Linked DNA regions of Neurospora crassa OR74A. The protein of the gene in region 1 purifies or fractionates together with the protein of each later gene. This does not show direct contact. Links are inferred from orthologs where the notes say so. Each region holds a gene or a part of one and is shown on either strand. Other genes may lie near its edges. The genes, in order: NCU01992, NCU00493, NCU08811 and NCU04404.

Region 1 (5,257 bases):
GGCCGAGAAAGCCATACGGACGTTGGCAACCACTCTGCCGCCGTTGACGGTCTTTCCGAGGAGCTTGAGCGTATGTGTGGTCTGGTTGAGGGGTACATCTGTTCCTTCAAGGGGTTGTAGCGACAAAGTCTTTGCTAGTTGTTCGGTTGCGTCTGTAGGATGTTAATAAATGGGTTTGGCAGAAACCAAGGACCAGAGAATTTTACGTACCTGATATGCTCTTCATGCTGCTGAGTAGCAATGTCTCCTCCGCCTCTTCCCCAGAAGCGCCAACCTGCTCCCAGATGTGCGCAAAGTTGCTGGCAAATACGGGAATGACATAGTCGCTTCCCGCCAGGTCAAACTCGGCAACCTCGTACTCGTCATCGTAGCCGGTTTCTTCAGGCTCACCGGTGCTGGGATCAATCTCCTTGCTGGTGAACTTGAGGACGTTGGAGAAGGTGCTAACTGGTAGCGAACCCTCACCGCTGACCTTTCTGAATGCCACATATACCTTTCCAGGAACGTCGGTCTCGAGCTTCTCAGCCTGAATAATGAATAATTCTTCAAGCTCTTCTTCCGCGGGAGTAGCTACGACAGAGACGTTCTCTAATACGGTGTCGGGAAGGGTGTTCTTGACCTCGTACTGGAGCACAATATGCTCCTTGAAAATATGCTTGACAACTCCAACGACGTATTCGGTCTCCGCCTCGGTCAACTCTACCACCGGCGACGACTTGAGAACGGCGCCAAATTCTGCCATCTCGGGAATCTGCATCAACTCCTGCGCATATTTTTGCGCAGCTGCCGAGGCAGATGCGGCTGCCTCGGCGCTGGTGGGAGCCGCCTTGGTTGGTCCGACCTTGGGTGGCTTGAGTGAAGGTGTCGTAGCAGTAAGCTTCTTGGTCCTATCCTCGGCATCTGCTTGTTCGCGGGTAACAACAGGGATCTTGGAGATGTCGAAAGGCGCCTCGAATGTCGACCTGTCATCAGAAGTAACATACGTGACGAGCTGATGCTCGAAAAAGGGCAACGAGAACATGCTGTCTGTTGACATGTCAGTATGTGATCGCATCCGGCAAACGTAACATAAAGTAGACGAGAACTTACCATTCTTGACAAACCTGTTCGCAAGCTCATCCTCTTCCTTCATAAGCTTGAGGTTGAGAGCAGCACGATCGCGAACCTCGTCATCAACATCATCCAGACACCTGGTGAGGAGAACCTCTACGCTGCGCTTGACTTCAGGATCTTTCTGGCCGACACCAAATTTGGCAAGGGCAGTGACCGCTGCGGCGCGCACAATGGAGTTCTCGAGAACCACCCGGTTGTAGATGTATCGGATGTACTTGGTAGGCTGGGATGTCTTGGGTCCCTCAAGACCGAGGAGGTGAAGGACACGGACTGCCAACTTGGTGAACTCGCAGTCCTCAATAAACTCGCACAGGTGAGCGAGAGCCTCCTCCTTAGATTCGGGGACGAACTTGATAAGATCGAACATGCTCTCCACCACGGCGCGCTTAAACTCATAGCCACCCTCATCGCGCAAAATACCACTGAGGAACTGGAGCATGCCGGCCTGCTTGCTGGGAAACTTGAGGCATAGAGTACGGATGGCTTCGACAATCGTAATCTTGAACTCATCGGTGATTTCAGACATGAAGCCAGAAATTTGCTTCATCAGACGATCCACGCTGGCCTCGTTTCCGGTCTTGAGTAGGGTAGTAATGGCAAAAGTAGCGATGGAGCGGTTGCTGTTGGAGATGAGGAGCTCAATGTCCGGGTTGCATACAGCAACGGCCGCCGGCTTGAACGAAGCGAAGTTGTGGAGAATGCGAAGAGCGGCGAACTTGGTGACAGCGCGGGGCGAGGTAAGGAAAAGTTGGAGGACATGGACTGCCTGGGTGACCTCAGCGTCGGTGACATCCCGCATATCGCAAATCGCCTTTGCGGCCTCGAAGTTGACCATTTCGCTCTTGTGCCTGAGCCAGCCATCCAGCAGCTGCATCATGGGCTTCCTAAGGTGTGGGTCTTCGTCGGCCAGCTGGGCGGCAAGACGGACGAGCAACATGAGAGCAGCGGGGTTCTTGACGGCACCGGGAGCACCGAACTGCTGGACCATCTTCACCAACGCCATCCTGTCGTGCATGCGCATCTGATAAAGCAAGCCAATGGCATGGTATTGGGTCATAGTCGAGCTGTTGATGGGCAGATCTCTGTTGGAAGATCCGAAACCGAGGGAGAAACCGCCGGTAGACTTGGTGTTAGCTGCCGCTTCCGAGGTCTCATTCTGCCACCGTTTGACGACGTCCTTGGCGACGGGGAGAAGGTGATATGACGATACGAGGGCGGCAGAGGATACTGAGGGGTTTCTGTCGACAATGGCCGTCTTCATGACACGCTCGATGGACTGTACTGTGGTGGCCTGCACAAGGTCGGGGTTAGCTCCACATCGGATAACCATTAAGGGGTCGAGGAAGGGGGAGGCTTACATCGATGATGCGGCAAAGGGCGCGGATGGCATTCGGGCGGTAGATGGCATCGGTACTACCGCCAGTATCCTTCATAATGGTGCTGGTAACCATAATAATATCCTCGGCCGAGTTGGCCAGCTCCTTGATGACAAGGTGGACCATCTGTCGTAGGCTGGCATCTTTGTTCTGGAAGAGCTTCGAAATACCAAAAAACAGCGTCGTGGCTTCGTTTGTCGGGAATCTTTCGCCGGTGTAGAGGAGGAGAGCAATCTTGGTGAGGAGGATACGACATTTGCGCGGCTGAATGGGGGAGTTGTTGAAGAGGCGGGCTGTATGTCGAACCGGTCAGTCTTGAGGAGGTTAGGAGAGTATAAGGGCCACGTCCACCCGACGAACAATGCCTCAGCTGCCAAGGTACTCGGACTCACCCTCCTGGAAGACCTGGGTCCGGTCGACCTTGACCAGACCCGTCTCAGCATCCTCGTCCTTTTTGCCGTAATTCATGGCGGGCAGGGCGACGATGGGTGCTGGAGGTGTGATGTGGATTTGGGAAACCCAAGTTGTTGTTGTTGAGGCAAGTAAGTCGAGGCTAGAACAATAGAGGTACGAAATAACGGAGTAGCGTGTTGCCTGTGCGACGGTGCGGCCAGCAAGCGGGTATCCCCAAACCCGCGACGTTGCCAATTCCACTGCACAGTCGAGGGGGAGTCCACTGAGGTGTCAGGGAGTCCGTGCTCCCGGGCCACGCTGCCAGTCTCGCCAGTTAGAGGCTGAAAGCCTCCCGGCAGGAGCAAGCTTCTCCATGTGCATCGTCAACCTCAAGGAGCGGGTGTTACAGCGCACAGACCACCCTTCCAATATGTACATACCTAGTTACCTCTACATAGATGCTTCCCTCCCGCCTCCTGAGTAGATCATCGAGTTTAATTATTTTCAATATAATCACACGGGATGTTGTTCCTGGAAGACAAACTTGACATTGTTCAACCTGCCAGGTCACCTCACTTGTGCTTCTGAAGGAAAAATAGAACCAAGATTGCTAGTACGTAGTAATCACCATGATAACTATTGATACTTTACTTGGACCTGTTCAGTGCCAAGCTTTACATCCCACACTCGGTCTAGGTGGCCGCCTTCCCTTTCGGCTTGAATGACAGCTTGATACTGACTACTTTACTCAAATTGCATTATCGTGAGCCCTTCTTGCTGTCAATTGGTTCTCCTCAACGGTAGTCCCAGCCTGTACTTAAGGATACAGTTGGTCCGAGCATCCATTGTACCCATCTCTTCCTTTTCGTCTTCCTCCAAAAGGACATATAGCCTTGCTTTGGCTCATAAAAGCATGATTTGTTTTCTAGTATGTTTGCTTGCTCTCTTTTGGGGCGTACTCTTAGGCACAGCTTCTTATATCACTCTCCTGCTACGGCCCTCACCTGCGTAGCATCAGCGATCGGATACACAAATGGACCCTATGATGTGGAAGCAGCTTCTATCGCTTCTGCATCGACAGGCACCTCATCTGAGACCACTGCCGAGGCCTCGGGTTGCGCCTCAGTCTGTACCTCCGCCTGTGTTTCGAGTTGCATGTCCGGTTGTTCCTCGCCCTGCACCTGCGCTTGGTCCTCCGCTTCGGCGGCGCTTGCTTGCTCCTGCATCGGCTCTTGCGCGTGATAATCAGTATTGATGGGAAACCCGTTCCGGACGTCGTCTTCCTTGCGGTCGGGATTTTTGCCGCATGCCTTCACAGCTTCTTTCTCTTTTTTGCCCAGCACAACGAGATCAAAGGACGGAGGCAAAATAGCATCAGCCCTGTACCAGACGTGTCAGTAGCGGCCAGATAAGGTTTAGTAAGCAAGGCGTCAAGTCACTCACTTTAAGAAGTCCTGCTTTAGCAAGCGAGCTTTGTCTCGCAAAGCCTGCTGGTCACGAGGGCGCTCAAAAGGGATTTTCCCCTCCTTTATTTCCTTCTCGATGACGCTCCATTTACACTTGTACGTATCCACTGCCTTGATCAACATCCTGATGTCATCGCGAAGCCAGGGTGACCGACTCTGTGGTCCTCTGGCTTTCCGGTTAGCTGCCGAGAGCTCTCTCGAGCGTTGCGACACGGCGTCGAGGTCAGGCTCAGCCTTCGTGCCTGAGGACGGTGAATACCTAGCCACAGCAGCGACAGCGGCAGCAGCAGTAGCGGCAGATGAAGACGGCGTCCCAACATCCCCCATTGCACCCTCTGCGGCAGGAGTGGGGACAGCAGGCCTCGGGCGACGGGTCCTTGGCTTTTTGGCTGGCGGTTTGCTCACATCTGATCCATCGACTACACCATCATTACCGCTCGGCGAAGCTCTCTTAGGTCGGCCTAGCTGGGCGGCTGACTGTGCGTAAAGAGTGCCGTTTTGAAAAGCACTCGGATTACTGGGGTACGCCAAAGGCGGCGATTGTTGAGCGTCGAAGCTAGGGGGGTATGGAGCACGCCCAAGGGGGGGGTAACTGCTCAATGGGAGTTCATGGGGTCTTCCGAAGATATCCTGGGTTGTCGAGAAACCTCCATCTTGTGCTTGTGAAGCTTCGCTATCAGATTCCAGAGGTATCTTCTGAAGAGAAGCCAAATAATTCAATTGTCTTTGCCTGTAACAGATATCATATTAGCATAGAGGCCCAGTAGCCTAGGAGGTTGTATACATACCCAGTAACTGCCAGTGACTCACTCTCCAACTGAGACTGGATTTGTGTTTCCTCTGCCGAGGAATCCGGCGCGCCATACTGTGTAGCTAGGTAAGACGGTCCCGGTGGCACAGGCTGTAGTT
Region 2 (5,327 bases), on another chromosome or scaffold:
ACCAGTTCTTCTCCGGGTGTTAACTCCGAGGCAATGACAGAACGGATAGATGCAAGTAATTCCGACAACGGTGCGGTTGCGATCTCAGTATCGGTAAGAAAGTAGGTCTCAGGATCCATGTCCGAGTTCCCAAAGAGGGCATAACTGCCACCATCATACTGGACTGTAATATCTGTGATGCTGAATGCAGCATCATCAACAATGGCCTCGTCATGGTCAATCTGGCTTTCCTCGAGCTGGCGATCCTCGCTCACGGCCTCGCCCGCTTGTTCAGCTCCCGAGACAGCTGTATCCAGAGGGTTGGTAGCTGCAACACCACCGACGTCCAGACCGACATCGGTCTCGGCAACTTGTTCAGTAGCCTCCTGATCAACAGGGTTCTTTGTCTCGGCCTCACGCCCGATCGGCTGCTCTTCCGCATCGTCGCCCAATTTGGACTCAGCAAGATCAATCTGGACGTCCTGGGCTTCCTGTTCCAATTCACGTAGATCTGGATTCTCGTCATTTGCAGACGGCGCTTTTGATATAGTGGTATCTTCGGGCTCGTGTTCAGTAACAGCCTCTTCTGCAACGCCCTCCTCCTCTTCATAACCTATCTCGTCATTGTATGCCATGGAGACATCCTGAGCATCTTGCTCGACGCCGCCTGCCGCCTCTGCTTGCTCATCGTTGGTATTATGCTGAGCCTCGAGGTCATCGACAGCAAATTCAACATCCGCTGTGGCGGGTTGGGCATCAAGATCGATCGCCTGGTACTCATCTTCCTTGTCATGTAGGTCGTCGAGTTCTAAGACAAGCTCGTCGGCTGGCATGCCGGCATCTAGCATCAAGTCATCGTCAAATACCGCCTTCCCCGCCTCGGCACGAACGTCGAAGCTAACTTGCTCCATGATGATTGGCGGTTGGCGGGTCAATCAAAACACGCGCCACAGACGAGTGAGTTGGATCAAGAACGAAAATTTGGAAAATGACGCAAAACTTCCACGAAGTTTCTAAGAAGGTGCGACGTATTGCCGTTGTCAAGAAATTGTACGTCCAGCAAGCGTCATGAAAGAAGCGAAGACGTAGAAAATTGGTGCACTGGTCAAAACCCCAAGCTTGGCGATGGGTTTCGGTGGATGTCTTGGACTGAAAGGCTGTGACTTCTTCTTGGAAGCGAAGCCGTAGGGCATATAGAGACCACGGGTTCTGGAGTTATGGCTGAGAATGGGCAACCCCGCACTCGACAAAGAACGCCCGACAAACAACGGCGCTTCTGGGGCGCAAAATGAAACGGTGAAGGGATGTGAGGCGACACGTGGACTGGCGGAATCCGACAACACGATTTAACCGCTGTTAAGAGTTCTGGGGCGGATGTTCTGGGCAAAAGTGCACATCGAATCGAGGTATGGAATGCTGAAACGCGGCAGGCAGATAATCGGGATGCCTCACTTTCACGGAGCGGCGGAGCTGGGAGGTGGGTGAAGTGCAACGGAGTCGAGTAAGCTCTTGATGACGAGGCGTGTCACAAAGGTAGCGTAGGTATTTGATGATCCGTAATCGAGACTCGTATTGGCTGGGCAATGCTTTGACGCGATTGAGAAACAAGTTTCTCGATGGCGGATGGTTTTTCGAGGTAGGCGATGGTTTGGATGGAAATGGAAATCGTGAAATTTCGACACACGGGGCCGTCTGTTGTGCGTGTTGAAGAAAGAGGTGCAGTTGTTGGTTTTGCCGCAGTGTGTGGACAACGGTGAAATTCGCAGAATTGATCATAGGAAGGAAACTGAACCTAAGCAAGTGCCGCATGGAGTTTAGCGGGCCCTGTGGGTGCCTAGAGGTACCTACCTACTGTACTTGTATCTATGGTGTGCCCCTGGATTTCTTTTGCCAGCTGGCAGCCCCTCGTCGGCCGGCCAGGACGCTGCCACCGTGTACGCAGTAGGTTGCCCTGGCCCGCCTGAACCCGACTGCCCTGACGCTGCAGTGAAGCTGCCGTCCAGGTACCTCTACCTATCGCTGCCCGCTGGGTCCCTCCAGATGGCACCTTCAGTTCAATTGGACCTGACCGACAGCACACCTCAGCACGGCAACGGAAAGACCACATCAACCTTCCCGTCCACGACAACTTTCAGGAGGTGAAGCTCACGACTTACCTCCAACGCATCCCAAAGCTCCCTGCACTACCACGAAGCGCCCTTCGAGTCAGTAGTCGTGGTTGTTGTTTACTGCTGTCAAAATGGTAACTCATCCATCCCTGTCTCCTGGTGGGAAGAAGCGATTGACGGAACATGTCAGGTTGTCCTCGCTGCCTCCATCTGCACCCGCGGCGGCAAGGCCGTCTTAGCCCGCGCCTTCAACGACATCAAGCGCTCCCGCATCGAAGCTCTCCTCGCCTCGTTCCCCAAGGCCGCCGACTCGGGTACTCAGCACACCATTGTCGAGCAAGACAATGTCCGATTCGTCTACCAGCCCCTGGACGAGCTGTACATGGTCCTCATCACCAACAAGCAGTCCAACATCCTTCAGGACATCGACTCGCTCCACCTTTTTGCCCAGGTTGTCACCAGCACCTGCAAGAGCCTTGACGAGCGCGAAATCCTCCGAAATGCCTACGAACTGCTCAGCGCCTTCGATGAGCTGGTGACTCTCGGTTACCGGGAGAACCTCACCATCAGCCAGATCAAGACCTTCCTCGAGATGGAAAGCCACGAGGAGCGCATTCAGGAAATCATTGCCCGCAACAAGGAGCTGGAGGCCACCGAAGAGCGCAAGAGGAAAGCCAAGCAGTTGGAGATGCAGCGCAAGGAGTCGGCCAGAACTGGTCGGTCCGCGGTACCCCGGACGCCGGTATATCCCACATACACCCCGCCGGTGCGACCTGCTGTCACCGAGTCCTATGATACGTACGAAGCCGAGAAGAACAAGGTCAAGTATGTGTTAGTCCCTCTTCTTTTCAGGCTGGCCTGCAAGCTCACATTCTTCTAGGTTCAATGCGCCAAAGGGCAAAGGTATGCAGTTGGGCAAGAAGTCCAAGAATACGGATATTTTCGAGCGCGTGAAGGGGGATCTTGGACACGAGGCCGAGGAAGCGCCCCTTGTTCCGGTAGCCGCGCCGGCAGCTGCCGCAGAGCCTGCTGCTTCCAGAGTCTCTTCGACACTCGACAGGGATGCTATTCACGTCCTTATCAACGAGGCAATCAGTGCCAAGCTGTCGAGAGATGGTGCCCTCGAATCCCTCTCGGTCAGCGGTGACCTCCAGCTTCGCGTCTCCGACCCATCGCTTTCAAGGATCAAGCTCAACCTCAGCGCCACACCCACCCACGGCGCCCAGTTCCGCACTCACCCGAACGTCGATAAGAATGTCTTCAATAGCTCCCAGGCTATCCAGTTGTCTCAAATCACAAAGGGTTTCCCCCTTAACAACTCTGTCGGAGTTCTAAGGTGGCGGGCCAGTCCCAGAGTCGACGACACCAGCGCACTACCAATCAGCTTCACCGTTTGGGTCAACAAGGGCTCGGATGGCAACAGCACATTGACGGTCGAGTACGAGCTCACTGGCGGAGATACCCTCAAGGACGTTACTGTCGTCATCCCCTACACGAGCGCAGAGCCTCAGGTGTCTAGCTTCGACGCTGTGTATGAGGTGTCTGGTGACAGTCTAGAGTGGTCGATAGGCACCGTAAGCGAGGAGAACGCCAGCGGATCATTCGAGTTTGAGGCGCAGACCGATGACGAGAACGAGTTCTTCCCGATGCAAGTACGGTTCTCCAAGTCGTGGCCGTTCGTGGAGGTTGATGTAAGATGTCGCCCCCTCATGTCAGAAAAACGGGTAAAGACGGAACAACTGACACATTCTAGGTTCAATCTGTTGAGCTGGTGGATGAAGGTGAAGAGGTTTCGTTTTCCAAGGACATCAGATCGGTGGCCGACAAGTTCCTCATTGAGTAGGGTTTGTTGTCATTGTTTTGAGCAGAACCAAAAAAGGGCGACCGTAGCATGCCGGCCAGGCGTCTCGATCATCATCTTCCACACCAGAATTAGAGTAATGTATGGGAAGCAACCGAGTTGTCCAACTCCCTTTATAATGAATACTGTTGTACATGGTCCGCGCCAGTGGGTGCTCGAGCTGTCATTCCTTTTCTTCCGTTGATACCCAAGGTCATACTTGACTTTTTGAACAAGAGGTTTTTGACGCTCCCGGGATCCTTGAAAGTAACATGTAAGCTACGAGCCCTACGCATTTTTAAGGGGATGGATACCCTCATGATCCAGTACCATATAGAAAGAAGCCTATCTACGCAAAGAGCTATCCAACTCAATCATCGCTGTTGTAAGCACAGAGTATGGTAATTGATGTCGATGTGTGTAGTTCGCTAGGTAAGCTTGTAAAGGTCATACCTACACAGTACGGATGCCCCTGCACAGTATTTCTATTACTGTGGCAACTGCTCTATCTGCACTGTGTTTTGAATCAACAGGCAGGACGAGACCACACGACTGAATCGCAGAACAGCAGCAACAACAACAACAACATCACGCCGAGGCAAGTGAAGCTGTAGGTCTAGCAAACCAAAACCGAAATCCCCCAAACATACAAACCGACTTGCCAAGTTATGGACTTGCGCGTGTCATTCAAATCAAAATCTTGCGTCCCGGAGTTGAAGGCTGGAACCACTTAGCCGCTGCTTTCCACGTCCAAATAACATCATCCAACTGAAAGTCACCAACGGATCCTACAAAATGTCCCCAAATGGGCAGCTTCAGCTATTCAGTTCAAGCGCCTTGAGTGTGCCAGTCTCAGGCAAGCAAATCGTATGCAATCCCGTGATCGACTTGACAGCCACGGTCGGCGACGGTAACACGATCTATGTCTGGCGTGGCAGCAATCAGTTGGTCTCGAAGCATACAGAACGAAACCAGAAGGTTGATGCAATCAAGTGGAAAGAGGATGGTAAGTGAAGATCTTCCGATGGCTGTTGAGGGAAACCACTGTCTTACAGGGAATTCGCAGGCCAATTCTTAGCTGCCGGCTGGAGTGACGGCGTGGTGAGGTTGATCGGCTTGGAAAGCAACAAAGCCGTGCATCACATCCGCGTGGCAGGTCATGGTGGAAAGCCTTCTAAGATTGAGTTCATCGCCTGGGCCAAAAACGAAACTGGTAGGAAGTCGCGTGCCAGGAAGCATAATGACCTCCCCGACTTGCCGTGGCGGGATCTCATGCTCGATGAGAAGAAGCATGTTCTGGACCTCCCTCATGAGTTGACTTTTCTGGAAATCGAGACTGCTCTCCCCAAAATTAGTCCTCTTCCTTTGTCGGGAGGCATCGGGTATGTGTACAGGACCCA
Region 3 (5,442 bases), on another chromosome or scaffold:
TGATCAGTGCGGTTTACGAGAAGGTAGTGATGGAGTTGCAGCATGTTTATGACGGATTTTTCTCATTGGAGGGGTCGTGATAACAAGGAAGTCATGAAGGAGACAAGAGGGTGAAACAGAAGGAAGTTCGAGTAGGACGAACCAAGCTCAACATGGCATCAGACGTTCGTGTCTTTGTATTTAACATAAATCTTCAACGCCAATATCTGTGCAAGTGAGATCTTACACCTTGAAGAAACAGCCCCTACCGCAGTCCGTCAATCCAGTCCCATTTCCAGGCAATGCCGCCCAGATCAGAGCCATAAATAACATAACACCTTACTTCAGCTCGGTCTAAGCAAAACCCTAGGGTTTCCATCGTGACCTTCCCTATGGATATCTCCACCGTTTGCATGGCAATGACATTCGGTCTTGCTTGCGCCTCAGAAACACCGTATTGTAAATCCGAAAGCAGGGCACATCATCTAGAGGTCTTTATTTGCAAAGACTTCAACGAGGATTGTGGACTGCACAGCATGGACCAAGTGGTAAAGTGCAAGTGACCACTGCGCGACTGACGATTCTTCCCCCCCCCCCCCCCCCCCCCCTTCTCCCTCCTCCTGCAGGAAAGGGAAAAAAAAAAAAAAAAAAAAAAAAAAAAGGGGGCCGAGAACATTAGGTCAATAAAAAAACAAAAACAATCGCAAAAAAAGAAAGTTTGGTTCATGATCCGACCCAGGCTCGATCTGGGGACCTTCAGTGTGTTAGACTGACGTGATAACCAACTACACCATCGGACCAGCTGTTGTTATTGATAGAATTACGCTGAAGGTAGGCCCTATATCAGTAGCTTCTATTATGGTTGCGCGAGTCAGTTATTAGCAAAAATCTCGCTGAAACCCTGATCAACATCACGATCTCTCCCTGTCAACCTCGACTGCCACCGTAATCGAAAAACCGTACGCTATAGAACACCATCATATCTCTTTCTTGTTGCTTGAATACTTCCCGTGGTCACTTACCAAGATCCCCCTACGCCACGGATGTGAGAACAGCTCATCCAGATCCTGGCCGTCATCCTCTTCGTTAGATATCAGAAACCCGCATCATCTGCCCAGACTACTAGTGCTCTCTACCATAAAACATTCATTCACCATTACACTACAAATACTAATTTTTACTAAAAGGAAGCCTTACCCGCTCGTCCACATCTTTCTGTCTCATAACTAGGTAATTCCCTTCGCCCATCACGTCCAGCTGCCCACCCACACTGCTGCCTCATTCTTCCATTTCCACCGCTCAGCTCCCAAGATAAGCCCTGATAGCACCCTGCAACCTCCCGGCACCCTCACCCACCATCTGCGTAAGGTTCTCCAGATCATCGCTGGCAGTGATGCCAAACTTGCGAATGAAGTCCTTGGCGGCAGACTCGAGGTCGCCGTAGTCTTCGGCGGGCGCGTCGTCCTCGGGACGACCAAAGTAGGCATTGGAAGAGATGGCCTGGGCACCCTCGAAGCCTTGTAGACGGGCCTTGGTCTCGGCCTTGACCGAGGGGTCGTAGTTGCCCTTGTTGAAAAACTCGTCCGAAGAGATGGCCTTTTGGTTGGCGAACTTGTTGCGGGCGTATTGTTCTTCGTCGGCTGTTTCGTATCGATGTTGGTTAGTATTGCGTAAGAAAAAGAAAAAAAAAGAAAGGGAAAGGAGGGAAAAAAAAAACATACCCTCACTAGCCTTAATAGGCCCAACACTTCCAAACCCACCCGCATTCTTCTTCGCCGCCGCCGCTCCTCCCGCGCCCGCCGCAGCACCAGCACCACCGGGCTTGCCCACCATACCGAAACCCAGCTTCCTGACACCCATACCTAGCCTCTCCACCTCAGCAGCCGACTTCTCCTGCGCCGCCGACCGCGAACTGGAGGAGCTGACTGGCGCCGCAGCAGGGGTGATGATATTATTGGTCTTGGTCTCGGCCTTCTTCGCCGCCTTCTCCTCCTCCGCCTCGGGATCGTAACCCAGCTTCTCGATGCGCTCCGCCTCCTCCTTGGCCTTCTTCTCCGCCTCGTCGAAATCGATCAGGTCCGCCGAAATCTTCTTGACGCCCAGCTTAGCCGCGGGCTTCTTGGCGCCTAGGATGCCGCCGCCCACCTTGCGCGGGCCGCCGGTGGTGCTGCTGCCGGGGGTGGTTTTCCTTAGGGCCGCGGAGGTGGTGATGCGGCTGGCGGCGGGGGCGGGAGTGGGAGCATCGGAATCGGTCTTGGAGAGCGGCGAGGAAGTGCGCTGGATGTCCTTGCCGTTGCCGAGGAGCGGGGAGGCGGTGCGGCCGATGACGGGGGGTGTGGAAGTGCGGGAAATGGGTGGCGTGGGCTTCTTGATGGCGGGCTTGTCCCACGAGGAAAAGAAGTCGTCGTCGGGCTCGCCGGCCGGGGTGTTGCTGCTTGTGGCATCGTCACCGTCGGTGATGACAACTTCTTCGGGGTATCTGGGTGGGAGGTAAACAGCGCGTCAGCATTGCATTTCATGTAACGTGGAATAAAACAGGTTTGTGTAAATGAGGGGTAGGGGCATTGCATACTCGCGGGCGTCCCTAGCAGCCCTCTTCTTGAGCTCCTCCTTGTACTTGGTCGCGGCAGCAGATTGGTACTTGGTCTTGGGGTCCTTGCTGTTCAAGGCGGCGGAACCACCGTTTTGCTGAAAGAACTTGGTTGCCGACTCATTGCCGCCCACCTTCATGATCCGTAGCTGGTCCCATTGCCATTCTGTACAAGAACAAGGTTCGCGTTAGCGGGCGAGGTGTCGCGTCGTGGAGTAAAGATCGAGAGGGCACATACGGTCGAGGTTAGTAGACCGCACAAAGGAAATGTGAACGCCGAGGTTGCGGTGGTTGGCCGAGCAATCGAGGCAGAGGTAGATGCCAAAGGGGACCGAGGTCCATGTTGGGTTCTTTTGGCCGCAGTCGAAGCAGATCTGTTGTTCGCGGGAAGGGAGGCAGCAGTTAGCTTTCTGGATGTCTAGGGTCGATCGCTGCTCGCGTGGGCACATACCTTGTTGGCTGGCTTCGCCTTGAGCTTCTCAAAAAGCTTGAGCGACTGCTGCTTTGTCGCGAGACCGCTCATCTTGTCGGTCGGCAGTCCGGTGATGGTTCGGATTAGGTATGTCTGTCCTTTGCCAGGGTTGTGATGTGTCACTAGATCTCGACTGTCGTTGTTGATGACCCCTTTGCTCGGTTAGGTTGTCAGGGTCGGTAGGTCGGTGCTGCCGTCAGGGGGGGGAAGGTGAAAAAGGGGGCAGAAGAGGGAGAGAAGTCAAACAAGGCGGCGCTGTAGGTTTTCGGGCTTGTTACAAGTTGTCAATCTTTCAAGTGTTGTCATTCGCTCGCAGTTAATTCAGGAGACGGGGGGGGAGCCCCAGCGGAGAGAGCCGGGCTGCCTGGCAACCTACCTACGTACCTGTATGGTATTGGAACGTCCACTGGAACGTTGGGCCACATTTCTTTGTGTTCCCCAGCCAAGAATCAGACGCTTCCACTTGCTCATGGAGGTTCGCCCTTCCATGTGGCATCTTGGCGCCTTGGCACACAGTCCCGTCTCTACCTAGTGGAGCGCAACACGAACCCGACTCCACCCCTCGCCGGACGGACCTCCTCTGCCGGGAAAGATGCCGTGCCGGCAAACGGTTCCAAAGCTTCATCCAACCGCAGCTCATCACAGCTTCGTTCGGACCTCTCATTCTCATTGAAGCTCTCATAACAATCGCAAACGGCTGAAACATTGCCGTTGAAATATGGGTGTTGTGTTGAAGCCTCCATGATGAAAATGCTCACAGGTACTTCGGCGGGTGTGAGGCTTCTTCTGAGCCCCGCCGTGGTCCGTCAACAAGCAACCATTACCACAGCAGCTTCGAGAGCTCTTCCTCCGACAGCAGCTAGCGTCATTCTCGTCTCATCGCGCCGGCAATATGCGACTACGCAAGAAAGTTCCAAGAGGAGATCCGTAACGCCCTTCAATGATGATGGCCATGTGCCCTGGACTCGGCTCTCCACCGGTGAAAAAGCCGGGCGCGCCGTCCAGCAAACGTTCAACTTTGGTCTGGTGATTTTGGGTGTGGTTTTGACCGTACGCTTTCTTCTTCCCAATTCATCGCTCACTCCGGTGTGTTGTGTGTAGTACTAACTCTACCACACAGGGAGGAATTGCCTACCTACTCTTCACCGACGTGTTCTCCCCAGAGTCCAAAACCGCCTACTTCAACCGAGCCGTTGACCGGATCCGTGCCGACCCTCGCTGCGTCGCCCTTCTTTCGCCCGGCGACCCAAAGAAGATTGCTGCTCACGGCGAAGAGACACACAACAAGTGGCGCCGGGCGCGGCCGATCGCGGCAACGGTCGAGAAGGATAATAGGGGTGTGGAGCATCTAAAGATGCATTTCCATGTTCGTTTTACTTCTTCTTCTTCTTTTTCTTTCCCCTGTTTTGTTAAAAATTTGTTGTGATGATGGGGCTAACACCAAGAAAAACAGGTCGAAGGACCAAGAGGTTCTGGTGTCGTCGGGCTGCATCTGACCAAGCAACCAGGTCACTGGGAGCATGAGTACCAGACCTTTTACGTGGATGTGAGGGGACATCAGAGAATTTACTTGGAGAATAAGGAGGCAGAAGTGGCGGCTGCTAAGAAGGGTGGCAACAAGGAGTTCAAGTTCTTGGGTGTCAAGTGGAACTGAAAGGCTTCCATTCGCTTGTATGAATATTGTTCAAGGCTGCTGGTCATTGTTGCAATGATGAACGGCGATGCAGTGAAATATGGGTTTGCCGGTTAGTCTTGTTTCTTTCAATGAGTATGTTTGTTATCTTCGGTGTGTCATTATGATGCGTCATGGAGGCTTAGCATCGCACGTTGGATATGAGAACAAGTCTGCAAATTGGAATTAGAGTGCTTTCATTATATGTCCTCATCGTTGGTACGGATACCAAGACCGCAGTTGCTTGTACTCTGTCATGCCCTTCTCTTTTCCTGAAAATCAAATCAGAGAGCTTCCTGAATGACCCTAAACTGTTGCAGTGCTATTCCATCGCCTTTCAAGTCTTTCTTCAACAAGACCAGCCACCAATCCTTAGATATGATCAGAGTGATATTCAAATACAATAATAACCCTTCCTGTCTCGCCGCTCTGGCATGCTTGCGGACAAAAAATGACCTAAGCGCCGCCCATCATAAACAAGCCCAAACGCCGCCGGGTTAATGATGACCAAGGAGACACCAATAATGCTACACCAGAAAACCAATCACCGTTTCCTTTTCGCTTCGTGAACACCACCTTTTTCCTTTCGCCCTTTTCCCCTTTTCGATGAGTGGCTGTTACGCCCAGCCAACCAGCGACTTTGTTTCTTGTCGCTATCGTGGGCAAACTCTTGGTTGTATCGGAATCGATCCGATCGAGATGACGATGGCATTCGTATCCATGCAGACA
Region 4 (5,371 bases), on another chromosome or scaffold:
GCCATTTCGCATTGGATGTGTCTCGGAAGGAAAGTCTACCCCGCGTTACTCGTCAAGCGAAAAGTTACACAGCATAACCGGTCTACCGCCAATAAGAGCCAAAAGTCGGAGAGTTGGATCGATTAACTTCTTACTTTGACATGTGCGGACCTTGTTACTGCTTTAAAGTTGGTAGCCCAACCTTTTGTCACTTGATCAATCGTGATTCAAGACCAGCCATGGCAGGTCTCTCTTCACATAGAGGTACGAATCGAATTTGTTGTACGAATCGTACAGCGGCATGCTTTTGGTGTGCTTCGTAATGAGATGTCGGTGTTCCATCACTCGGTCTCCGCCTGGCAACTGCATCGGATATCTTGCCTCACACTGCTTGGTTGGTCATCATCAATAGCTGACACAAACAGCCATGACGACTCTTAGGTTCGGGGGCCAGTGGGGCGATTGGTCGATAATGTATACGATTGTGCCAGTCCCGAAGTTATCCATGTTAAATCCAGTTTCAAGAAACCCATCTGCGCCGCCAATAGATAGAAAAGAACGCCTTTATAAAACGCCGCATTATCCCACAAAATCTCTCCTTTCCATGAGTAAGGATATATCAAACTCGGGGTATTCGTTCGTGTCGGAAGATTAAATGGGCTTGATCTTGAAGTGCAAGGCAATGAGACTGAACACCAGCGCCTTGAGGTCCTGAACGAGGTAGTAGAAGACGCGCAAGCCTTCTGGGTCGGCCGAGTCCGTAACATCGTTGATCGATCCGATCTTGGCAGTCTATTTCCTGTATTAGCTCTGAACATTTTGCAGAAATAGATTCCGACACTGGCAAGACGCACCTCGAATGAAATGTGGTCGTTCCCGAGGCGGATCTCCAACTCCTGCTTTCCGTCTTTGTTTTTGGTCGGCCATTTCTCGTCGTCTTCCCTGTTGGCCTGTCAGCAGCCGCTCCATGTTGTTTGTATAAAAGGGTGAACATGATGTCGTACTTCATAATCTCGCTGTCCTTGATGATGCGCTTGATCTCGTCAATGACCAGAGAGCTGACGCACACTAAAAGAGACCCTCGTCAGTATATGGATGTCCACGGCCGGCTAAACAGTGTTTCCTACTCTCTTTCCTGATCAGACTGTCGTTACGGTAGTTGGAGTTGTTGGCATATCGGGCAGTGGCGCTACGTCCGTCGCCGAGGACGCGAAAGTCGAACTCTGTAGTCAAAGGGCGGTAGTTTAGCATCGTGGTCGTGGAAACGTGGGAGCTTGCGTCTCGAGGCGCAAATGGCTGAACACACCTAGGAACTCGTGGCCGAAGCGGCCCGAGTGGCCAGAGCTAAGCCGGCTGTTAGCATGGTGTTTTCAATGTGTGAGTGAATCGAATCCCGTAGGGGTGTACATACTAGTAGCGCAGATAGAAGGGTTCGTTGGCGGCTGACATGGCTGTTTGTTGCTTCTGTCAGTAGTAGGCTTTGCAAGACAAGAGGCAGAGATGCAGCCAGCGGCTTGGTTCCTGTCGCTTTTGGATGGACAACCTTGAAAGTCGCGCCCGCGCGGCCACGCTCCAGTGACATTGGCGGGGCACACGGCCCCACACTTGACCCCAGCTTGGCCCAGGGGCATTGTTTGGGCTCCAAGCTGACTCCGGGTTCACGAGCCTTCCTGACAGCTGGCAATCCGTATCTACACGTGATCCTTCGACTGTTTGGACAAGCTGGCAGATGGCAGACTCGGCCAGGAGATGGAGGCTTGGTGAGGCCGTAAGGGTGTCGGGGGGTCCGTGCTTCGCCGTGTGCTGTTGCGGCCGGCCAGAATGCCACATCTCCCAGGGGCCGTCTCTCGATAGAATTGACCGTCCTATCCACGCTGGCTCTTCCAGACTTCAACAACAAGCACAGGTGATGCTCCGCTCTCTCACCTCGCCGGCGCACTCCAGACAACCCTTTCATTGCGCAGCCGTCTCTTGATTTTCGGCCAACCACGACCCTGTCAGTCCAGGGGGAGGAAACCACATCCAGCACCAAGGCCAGCTCATCGTCACTCTTCAGGAGCTCGAGGCAGCCACTCAGTCCATCCATTTACTAGCACCACGCAACCTACAACGGGGCAAACAACACCTTACCACACCCGCCCCTCTCTAATTTCGATCCGCGACTCCTCTTCAGGACGCCCGGCCAGCTACTTTCTACCAAATTCAATCTCAACTTTAATCAAAGACGGCCCGGCCGCCGCCAGCTCTCCAACATGTCGTTCCTCGAAAATGCCTACAGCTTGGTCAAGGACAATGCCGTCGACGGCACCCCAACCGTGCAGGAGCTCAAGACGCAGCTCGAAAAGGGCACCGACGAGACCAAGATCGAGACCATGAAGCGCATTCTTACCATCATGCTCAATGGCGATCCCATGCCCCAATTGCTCATGCACATTATCCGATTCGTAATGCCTTCTAAATCCAAGCCCCTGAAGAAGCTTCTATACTTCTACTATGAGATCTGCCCCAAGCTTGATGCCCAAGGGAAGCTCAAGCAGGAGTTCATCCTAGTATGGTAAGGCATTCCGTGTCCGTCTGGGCATGCTGGCCCCTCCAAGCTGACCAGCCATTGCCTCGCAGTAACGGCATCCGAAACGACTTGCAACACCCGAACGAGTACATCCGAGGCAACACGCTGCGCTTCCTGTGCAAGCTGCGGGAGGCCGAACTTCTCGAGCCTTTGCTCTCCTCAGCCCGGGGCTGTCTCGAACATCGCCATGCCTATGTCCGAAAGAACGCCGTCTTTGCTGTCGCTTCCATTTACCAGCACTCCCCGTCGCTTATTCCCGATGCTGCGGACTTGATCTCCACGTTCCTCGAAGGCGAAAGCGACCCAACCTGCAAGCGGAATGGCTTCGCCGCCCTTGCCAGCATCGACCACGACAAGGCTCTTCTCTATCTCAGCACCGTCTTTGACGGTATTCCCAACGCAGATGAGCTTTTGCAGTTGGCCGAGTTGGAGTTCATCAGGAAAGATGCTGTTGTCAACACCCAGAACAAGGCGCGCTACCTCCGTCTTATTTTTGACCTTTTGGAAGCTAGTGCCTCGACCGTTATCTACGAAGCGGCCTCGTCGTTGACGGCCCTCACCAACAACCCTGTCGCTGTCAAGGCTGCTGCCAGCAAGTTCATTGAGCTTGCGATCAAGGAGGCGGATAACAATGTCAAGCTTATCGTTCTGGACCGTGTCGATCAACTCCGCCAAAAGAACCCCGGCGTCCTGGACGACCTGACCATGGAGGTGTTGCGCGTTCTCTCTAGCACGGATATCGATGTGCGGAGGAAGGGTCTCGAGATCGCTTTGGAGATGGTCTCCAGCAAGAACGTGGAGGAAGTCGTGCTTTTGCTCAAGAAGGAGCTGTCCAAGACGGTTGACCAGGAGTACGAGAAGAACAACGAGTACCGCCAGCTTCTTATCCACTCCATCCATCAATGCGCTATCAAGTTCTCCGAAGTCGCCGCTAGCGTCGTCGGCTTGCTCATGGACTTTATTGCCGATTTCAACAACAACTCCGCCGTTGATGTTATTAACTTTGTCAAGGAGGTCGTCGAGAAGTTCCCTCAGCTCAGGCCAGCAATCATTGCGAGACTGGTAGATACCCTGAGTGAAGTCCGCGCTGGTAAGATCTACCGCGGTATTCTCTGGATTATCGGCGAGTACTCGCTTGAGGAGAAGGATATCAGGGACGCATGGAAGAGAATTCGGGCAAGCCTGGGTGAGATCCCGATCTTGGCATCCGAGCAACGGTTGCTGGATAATGTTGATGGTGATGCCGAGGAGAAGGAGAAGGAGCAGGTCAATGGCTCAAGGGCAGCGCCGACTGGCTCACGCAAGGTCCTTGCTGACGGCACATACGCTACCGAGACTGCCCTTACCAGCCAGTCTACAGCTGCTGCACGCCTGGAGGCTGTCAAGGCTTCGTCGAAGCCCCCTCTCAGGCAACTTATCCTTGACGGCGATTACTACCTTGCCACTGTTCTCGCATCGACCCTTACCAAGCTTGTCATGCGTCATGCCGAGATCTCCTCGGAAGAGGCTCGCACGAACGCCCTCCGCGCTGAGGCTATGCTCATCATGATCTCCGTCATTCGTGTTGGTCAGTCGCAGTTCGTCAAGGCCCCTATTGATGAAGATTCGGTGGATCGTATCATGAGCTGTGTGCGCTCCCTTGCCGAGTTCACCGCGCACAAGGAGTTGGAGACCGTTTATCTCGAGGATACCAGGAAGGCGTTCAGGGCGATGGTCCAGGTTGAGGAGAAGAAGCGCGCAGCAAAAGAGGCCCACCAAAAGGCAAAGACGGCCACCCAGGTGGACGATGTTTATCAAATCCGCCAGCTTTCCAAGAAGAATGCCACTGATGGGGCTGATGCTTTCGATGCCGATCTCGAGCGTGCCACTGGTGGAGACAACAGCTCGGCTGAGGACCTATCTGGCAAGCTTAGCCGCGTTGTCCAGCTCACCGGTTTCTCCGACCCTGTTTATGCTGAGGCCTATGTCAAGGTCCACCAGTTCGACATTGTACTAGACGTACTACTCGTCAACCAAACAACTGAGACCCTCCAGAACCTTACCGTCGAGTTCGCAACTCTCGGTGACCTCAAGGTTGTGGAGAAGCCGACAAGCCAGAATCTGGGACCCCACGACTTCCACAACGTTCAGTGCACCATCAAGGTCTCCTCCACAGATACTGGTGTCATCTTTGGCAACGTCGTGTATGAGGGTGCTCACTCCACTGATACCCACGTGGTCATCCTGAACGACTTGCACGTCGACATCATGGATTACATCCAACCGGCAACTTGCACTGAGACCCAGTTCCGCACCATGTGGACCGAGTTTGAGTGGGAGAACAAGGTCAACATCAACAGCAAGGCGAAGAGCCTACGTGAGTTCCTGGACCTGCTTATGGCGTCCACAAATATGAACTGCTTGACACCAGAGGCCAGTCTTAAGGGTGATTGCCAGTTCTTGAGCGCCAACCTTTACGCAAGAAGCGTTTTCGGTAAGTTTTCTCGTCATTCGCATAGCACTTTCGGAAATAGCATCGCTAACTTCCCTTCTCTTATTCAGGCGAGGACGCTCTAGCAAACTTGAGCATCGAAAAGGAAGGTGAAGACGGACCCATTACTGGTTTCTTGAGGATACGCAGCAGATCGCAAGGGTTGGCCCTCAGTCTTGGCTCCCTCAAGGCATTGAACAAGATTGGTTCTGCCGCTTGAACAGATTTTCTCTCCGGCTAGATGAGATGAAAAAGATGATGTATGGGGTGATTGGGAGGGTTGTATAGCGATTAATTCATCACTTGATATTCTTTTCACCGTTGTGGTTTGTTTCAGTTGTTGTTATCATAGT

The links.
Region 2: the proteins of NCU01992 (region 1) and NCU00493 purify together in Saccharomyces cerevisiae (affinity purification with mass spectrometry; 4 studies listed by BioGRID). This does not show direct contact. The link is inferred for Neurospora crassa OR74A from reciprocal best matches to the Saccharomyces cerevisiae genes SEC21 and RET2.
Region 3: the proteins of NCU01992 (region 1) and NCU08811 purify together in Saccharomyces cerevisiae (affinity purification with mass spectrometry; 5 studies listed by BioGRID, with this or other methods). This does not show direct contact. The link is inferred for Neurospora crassa OR74A from reciprocal best matches to the Saccharomyces cerevisiae genes SEC21 and GLO3.
Region 4: the proteins of NCU01992 (region 1) and NCU04404 purify together in Saccharomyces cerevisiae (affinity purification with mass spectrometry; 4 studies listed by BioGRID). This does not show direct contact. The link is inferred for Neurospora crassa OR74A from reciprocal best matches to the Saccharomyces cerevisiae genes SEC21 and SEC26.

The regions. Positions count from the first base shown.
Region 1 is NC_026501.1:1,752,321-1,757,577, forward strand, and holds the start of NCU01992 (coatomer subunit gamma), read right to left. Parts: upstream 3,130-5,257; 5' UTR 2,958-3,129; coding exon 2,882-2,957; intron 2,783-2,881; coding exon 2,472-2,782; intron 2,405-2,471; coding exon 1,090-2,404; intron 1,027-1,089; coding exon 211-1,026; intron 153-210; coding exon 1-152. Other genes in the region: NCU01991 (hypothetical protein), read right to left, coding at 3,923-4,262, 4,326-5,078, 5,137-5,257. UniProt on the Saccharomyces cerevisiae protein: The coatomer is a cytosolic protein complex that binds to dilysine motifs and reversibly associates with Golgi non-clathrin-coated vesicles, which further mediate biosynthetic protein transport from the ER, via the Golgi up to the trans Golgi network.
Region 2 is NC_026503.1:4,046,786-4,052,112, forward strand, and holds NCU00493 (coatomer subunit delta), read left to right. Parts: upstream 1-1,938; 5' UTR 1,939-2,218; coding exon 2,219-2,221; intron 2,222-2,277; coding exon 2,278-2,912; intron 2,913-2,967; coding exon 2,968-3,778; intron 3,779-3,840; coding exon 3,841-3,930; 3' UTR 3,931-4,290; downstream 4,291-5,327. Other genes in the region: NCU00492 (hypothetical protein), read right to left, coding at 1-890; NCU00494 (hypothetical protein), read left to right, coding at 4,723-4,933, 4,994-5,309. UniProt on the Saccharomyces cerevisiae protein: The coatomer is a cytosolic protein complex that binds to dilysine motifs and reversibly associates with Golgi non-clathrin-coated vesicles, which further mediate biosynthetic protein transport from the ER, via the Golgi up to the trans Golgi network.
Region 3 is NC_026504.1:5,157,324-5,162,765, forward strand, and holds NCU08811 (arf GTPase-activating protein), read right to left. Parts: upstream 3,429-5,442; 5' UTR 3,093-3,428; coding exon 3,021-3,092; intron 2,944-3,020; coding exon 2,808-2,943; intron 2,736-2,807; coding exon 2,552-2,735; intron 2,459-2,551; coding exon 1,701-2,458; intron 1,620-1,700; coding exon 1,279-1,619; 3' UTR 954-1,278; downstream 1-953. Other genes in the region: NCU08812 (hypothetical protein), read left to right, coding at 1-80; NCU08810 (mitochondrial import inner membrane translocase subunit tim-21), read left to right, coding at 3,783-4,091, 4,162-4,407, 4,495-4,695. UniProt on the Saccharomyces cerevisiae protein: GTPase-activating protein for the ADP ribosylation factor (ARF) family. Involved in retrograde vesicular transport from the Golgi to the endoplasmic reticulum.
Region 4 is NC_026504.1:3,470,962-3,476,332, forward strand, and holds the start of NCU04404 (coatomer beta subunit), read left to right. Parts: upstream 1-1,793; 5' UTR 1,794-2,231; coding exon 2,232-2,533; intron 2,534-2,598; coding exon 2,599-5,021; intron 5,022-5,089; coding exon 5,090-5,238; 3' UTR 5,239-5,371. Other genes in the region: NCU04405 (mago nashi protein), read right to left, coding at 631-771, 834-921, 984-1,047, 1,107-1,202, 1,286-1,323, 1,391-1,428. UniProt on the Saccharomyces cerevisiae protein: The coatomer is a cytosolic protein complex that binds to dilysine motifs and reversibly associates with Golgi non-clathrin-coated vesicles, which further mediate biosynthetic protein transport from the ER, via the Golgi up to the trans Golgi network.